2 linked regions of the Cricetulus griseus genome follow. The protein of the gene in region 1 interacts with the protein of each later gene in a biochemical or structural test. Links are inferred from orthologs where the notes say so. Each region holds a gene or a part of one and is shown in the gene's direction. Other genes may lie near its edges.

Region 1 (3,522 bases):
AATATGTAGATACAACTTAGATTTTATTTTTCTTTAAAATGTATGGTGGGCTCTGTAAGCATGAGACCCTGAGTTTGGATTGCAACCCATGTGGAAAAGCTGGGTACAGCAGTGTGTTTAACCCCAGCTCTGGGCACATAAAAGCGTCAGATCCCAGGCACACATTAAATTGGCAAGCTCCAGACTCAAGGAGACATTGTCACAGTGAGACTTCTGTCCATGTGCTTTCCGTGCTGGCTCCTCTGACTGTGTGTACTGTGTACTTGTGTGGGTTTTTTTTTTTTTTTTTGTGTGTGTGTGTTTGCTTTTTGTTTTTTTCTTCATTCCTTGTTCATTTATTCTTATTACTGTGGGAGAAAATAATTGTAATAATAATTCAATTAAAACATAAAAACTATCTGGTTTCAGGCAAGCCAGGGATACTTTGTAAAAATGTGTCTGAAAACAAAAGTGAAAAAACAAAGCTATTCATATACTCTGTGCTTTTGTTATTATTGATCTTTCAATTTTAAATGGTCTTTACTGAACTAAAAATAAGGAGAGAGGCAAGTTGAATCCTGAAATCCATTCTGACCTCCACATGCACCTGCATGGGTGAGTGAGCCTATACTGATGTGAAGAGAGGGCTCAGTTGGTAGTGCTTGCTTTGTAAGCCTGAGGACCTGAGTTTGGATTCCCAGCACCCATGGAAAAAGTCAGATGTGATAGTGCATGCCTGTGGGAAGGCAGATACAGGGGGCTTCCTGAAGTCCACTGGTATATTATCTTGTCCAGATAGTGCACTCCAGGATCAATGAGAGACCCTGACTCAAAAACTAAAATGTGTGAGGTGGGTGCTGGAGAGATGGTTCAGCAGGTCAGAGCACTGGTTACTTTTCCAGAGGAACCAAGTTCAATTCCCAGTATCCACATGACAACTCAACTGTAACTCCAGTCCCAGAGGATCTGCCATCTGTTAGCATGAGGCATGTACTTACTCTTTCGAAAAACTAAACTTCTATTTTATATGTATAGGATACATTTTTGGTAGTTTTGTTGGTTTATGGATTCTTACATTGGGATAAATAATGGTTTTCAAATGAGGAGATTATGTTATAACTTAACTATTTTAAGGAGGCTATTGTTTCTTGGGAAAGCTCAAATAACTATTGGTTTTATTTTTGTAGGCTCAAATCACCATGAAAGTAATCCAAGGCCTGTATAGTGGGGTCACCACAGTGGAACTGGATACTCTGGCTGCTGAGACAGCTGCAACCTTGACTACGAAGCACCCTGACTATGCCATCTTAGCAGCAAGGATTGCTGTGTCTAACTTGCACAAAGAAACAAAGAAAGTGTTCAGTGGTATGTCTGGAGTAACAACATTTTAAAGAATTTAATGCTGTCATAACATTATAGGAATAATAATTACATAAGTTTCAAAGATTACATCTTATTTTAAAAGGCAGTAAACAACTCAGTGGTATAGTGTAAACTAGAACTTCCTGCTTTTCCATGTAGCTGACCTGCTACATGTGTGTGTGTGGTGTATGTTGAGACAAGGTCTCATTTAGCCCAGGATGCCTGCAAACTCAGTTTGTAACCAAGGCCAGCCTTGAACTCCCGATGCTTTTGTCTCTATCCCTTAAGTTCTGGGATTGTAGGCATATGTCATTATTCTGGCTTGAATTTCTGTTCGTTTTGTTTTGTTTTGTTTTGTTTTTCGAGACAGGGTTTCTCTGTGTAGCTTTGGAACCTATCCTGGCACTCGCTCTGGAGACCAGGCTGGCCTCCAACTCACAGAGATCTGCCTGCCTCTGCCTCTGCCTCCCGAGTGCTGGGATTAAAGGTGTGCACCACCAACGCCTGGCTTACATTAATTTTCTTTGAAAGACTATTTCTTTATATATATAAAGTATTATCCTATAGGAACTCAACAGACGTATGTTTGTTGAATATTTTCTCTGCTAGGCACTGAAGTGGGTTGGTATTTAAAAAACAAGAATTGAAAGCCACTGTTTTCAAACAGCATTAAGTGGTTTTGACTTTCCTTTTTTATTTTATCTTTCCTCAGATGTGATGGAAGATCTTCACAACTACATAAATCCACATAATGGCAGACATTCTCCCATGGTGGCCAGTTCAACACTGGATATTGTTATGGCCAATAAAGATGTATGTACAACATTTTTTTCTGGTGGAAATGTTTTGATTTTTGTTTGTTTGTTTGTTTGTTTTGTTTTAAAGTAATGTATTTAAGGCTAGGTAGTGGTAGTACATGCAAGCAGAGGCAGGCAATTCTCTGAGATAAAGGCCAACATGTTCTACAGAGCATGGGCATTCTGTTCTCACTGTTGTTATTTTCACTTAGAGCTATAACTCATAAATATCAGCATTTATGAATCTGCCTCATTTATCACTTATCCTATCAGTGGTATAACATTCCTTGTTTTTGGTTTTTCGAGACAGGGTTTCTCTGTGTAGCTTTGGAGCCTATCCTGGCACTCGCTCTGAGATCAGGTTGGCCTTGAACTCACAGAGATCCACCTGCCTCTGCTTCCTGAGTGCTAGAATTAAAGTGTGTGACACCAAAGCCCGGCCTACGAAAGTTCTTTAACATTGACCATTTTTGTTTTTGTGTTTTTTGAGACAGGGTTTCTCTGTGGCTTTGGAGGCTGTCCTAGAACTAGCTCTTGTAGACCAGGCTGGTCCCAAACTCACAGAGATCCTCCTGCCTCTGCCTCCTGAGTACTGGGATTAAAGGCATGCACCACCACCACCCAGCAACATTGGCCATTTTTTTTTTTAAATAATTTATATTTATTTTTGTGTACGTTGGTGTTTTCCCTACATGTGTGTCTGTGACAGTGTCAGATCCCCTGGATTGGAGTTACAGACAGTTGTGAACTGCCATGTGGGTGCTGGGAATTGAACCCAGGTCCTCTGGAAGAGCAGTCCATGCTCTTAACCTCTGAGCCACCTCTCCAGTCCCAACATTGGCCAATTTTATAAAATCTTATTACCACAATAGTAATTTGTTGGGCTAGAGAGATTTCTCAGTGGTTAAGAGCACTGCCTGCTCTTCCAAAGGTCCCGAGTTCAATTCCCAGCAACCGCATGGTGGCTCACAACCATGTGTAATGAGATCTGGTGCCCTCTTGTGGCCAGCAGTTATACATGCAGGCAGAACACTGTACACATAATAAAATAAATAAATCTTTAAAAAAATAGTAATTAGTTTTAGAGCTGTTAAAGGACCATGAGTTTTTAAACCCTATAAGCTACTTTCTGTTTGCTTGTAATATGTATTATTTTGTTCGGTTTAAAGTGGGTTCAATGTCAAATAAAAAATTGGAAGCTGAAAATGGTGGTATATGCTTATGATCCTAGGAGGAAGCAGAGTTAAGATTGTCCCTGCAAGTTCAAGACTAGACTGCTAGTCTACTTAGTTCAGGCTAGTCAGAGGTACATAGCAAGTTCCTGTCTCAATAAAAATTAAAAGGTGAAGCCAGGTGCACACCTTTAATCCTAGCACTCTGAAGG
Region 2 (2,276 bases), on another chromosome or scaffold:
TCCTGAGTTCAATTCCAAGCAACCACATGGTGGCTCACAACCATCTATAGTGGGATCTGAGATGCCCTCTTCTGGCGTGCTGGTGTATATGTATATAGAGCACGATTGTGATGCCAGGGGTCTGTGGCATCATAGTTCATGCTTTACTTCTGCCTGCAGGGAATATCTCTTCAATGCTATTGAAACAATGCCTTGTGTGAAAAAGAAGGCTGACTGGGCCTTGCGTTGGATTGGGGACAAAGAGGCTACATATGGTAAGGACACTTTGTTTTCTCCTAAAGCCCCGGGCTTGATTTTGCTTGTCCAAGTAATGTCACTGGGTTGTTGGCCCACACTAAGAATACCAAGCTCTCACTAGGAACATTTTGGTGTTGCCTCTTGCCCTATAGGAGAGCGCGTTGTGGCCTTTGCTGCCGTGGAGGGGATCTTCTTCTCTGGTTCTTTTGCATCAATATTCTGGCTCAAGAAGCGGGGACTGATGCCCGGCCTCACCTTTTCCAATGAGCTCATTAGCAGAGACGAGGTGAGTCTAAAATAACTGGTCCTCGGCTCCTAGCTATGTGCTCTTGTATCTACTGACAGGGGCTTAAGAAGGCGTAGCCATTTCAAAGGATGCATTCCTTATGTGTGAGTATTTTGCCTGCAGAAGACAAAGGGGGATGTGGGATGCCCAACTGGAGTTACATATGGTTGTGAGCCTCCGTGTAGGTGGTGGGAACTGAGCCAGGCTCCTTTGCAAGAGCAGTAAATGCTCCTCGAGACTGCTGAGCCATGTCAAGCCTTGGAAATCCAACCCAGGGTCTCATGCTTGCTAGGCAATTATTGTGCCACTGAGCCACATTCCCAGCCCCATATCCACCACATTTAATGTGAGCTCAATCATGCCATATACTCAGCAAGGAAGAAAATACCTTAAGTGATGTATTGAAACTACCCATAATTAGTACACATATTCCTATTGTCCTGTAGGCTTGAATGCAAAAGCTGAGATCTCTGAATAGGATTTTTAGGATATCATAAGCAATCCTTTGTATGTCTTTGTACTGCCAAGTTAATTGGTAAGGCCTCTGATGACCTAAGGCTCCTGTAGGTGCTTGAAGTAGATTGAGGAAAGACAGGGGCTGGCACCCCACCACCCCTGGATCCAGTGGGCAAGCAGGCAGGGTAGGTGATTATCTCCCTGTGGAATGAGGAGCCCTGAGACTTACTAGAGAATGGTGTGCTAAGAGTCACAAGTTTACCTCATTGAAACTATCTAATTCCTGAGTATCGAAAAGCTAACTGACCCTCCTTGTTAAGGAGAACTGGAGCTCAAAGCTGTGGAGAAACCTAAGCAAAGATTTGGTTATCAGAGGGTATAGGCCTGTTCCTATGCTATAGTAGGGGGTAGCTTTGAGGGCCTTCATTTGGGATAGCCTACTTGGCTTTCACAATTGGCAGTTTAACACCTTTTTAACTGTTAACAGCCTGTTTCTCCTTTACAGCCCTAACTCTCCTAGAACTCACTCTGTAGGCCATGCTGGTTTGGAACTCACAGAGACTTGACTTTCTCTGTCTTCCCCAAGTGCTAGGATTAAAGGCCTGTGCCACCATGCCCAGGCCACCTGCTTTTCCTCAATTTTGTTGTTTTGTGTTTTGGAGGTCTTGTAGTCTAGCTGGTCTGGAACAATGTAAACTCATGGGGATCGTGCCAGGTGTATGTCACCATACCAGGCTTCCTTTTGACAAGCCAAATACTCTCAGTGTGGCCAGAAAAATTGCATGAGACTACAAAGATATATAAAGCAATTTTCATCCACACATGTGAACAGTAGGAGTCTTCAGCCTCACAGTGATCTTGAACTTTCCCTTCCAGGGTTTACACTGTGACTTTGCCTGCCTGATGTTCAAGCACCTGGTACACAAGCCATCGGAGCAGAGAGTACAAGAAATAATAACCAACGCAGTGAGGATAGAGCAGGTGGGTGATGTGGGTGGGTTGCTCTTGCTGGAAGGGGGTTCCTGGGGCTTCAGGGTGCTCAAGCTTTGCTCGGCCTTTAGGAGTTCCTCACGGAGGCCTTGCCTGTGAAGCTCATCGGGATGAACTGCACTCTGATGAAGCAGTATATCGAATTCGTGGCAGACAGGCTTATGCTAGAGCTGGGGTTCAACAAGGTAAAGTGTCCTCTATGGTCTTCCCTTCCTCGCTTTTGTGTGTGTGTGTGTGTGTGTGTGTGTGTGTGTGTGACTTGTTTTCAGCATTGATGTCTCGATGCTCCTTTTCAGATTTTCAAAGT

Evidence for each region. The genes of interacting proteins can lie anywhere in the genome.
Region 2: the proteins of Rrm1 (region 1) and Rrm2 form a complex in vitro, tested with the Homo sapiens proteins (3 studies listed by BioGRID and IntAct). The link is inferred for Cricetulus griseus from reciprocal best matches to the Homo sapiens genes RRM1 and RRM2.

The regions. Positions count from the first base shown.
Region 1 is NC_048596.1:96,938,252-96,941,773, reverse strand, and holds part of Rrm1 (ribonucleoside-diphosphate reductase large subunit), read left to right. Parts: intron 1-1,166; coding exon 1,167-1,344; intron 1,345-2,053; coding exon 2,054-2,154; intron 2,155-3,522. UniProt on the Homo sapiens protein: Provides the precursors necessary for DNA synthesis. Catalyzes the biosynthesis of deoxyribonucleotides from the corresponding ribonucleotides.
Region 2 is NC_048600.1:26,960,959-26,963,234, reverse strand, and holds part of Rrm2 (ribonucleoside-diphosphate reductase subunit M2), read left to right. Parts: intron 1-159; coding exon 160-254; intron 255-389; coding exon 390-523; intron 524-1,855; coding exon 1,856-1,960; intron 1,961-2,040; coding exon 2,041-2,154; intron 2,155-2,265; coding exon 2,266-2,276. UniProt on the Homo sapiens protein: Provides the precursors necessary for DNA synthesis. Catalyzes the biosynthesis of deoxyribonucleotides from the corresponding ribonucleotides. Inhibits Wnt signaling.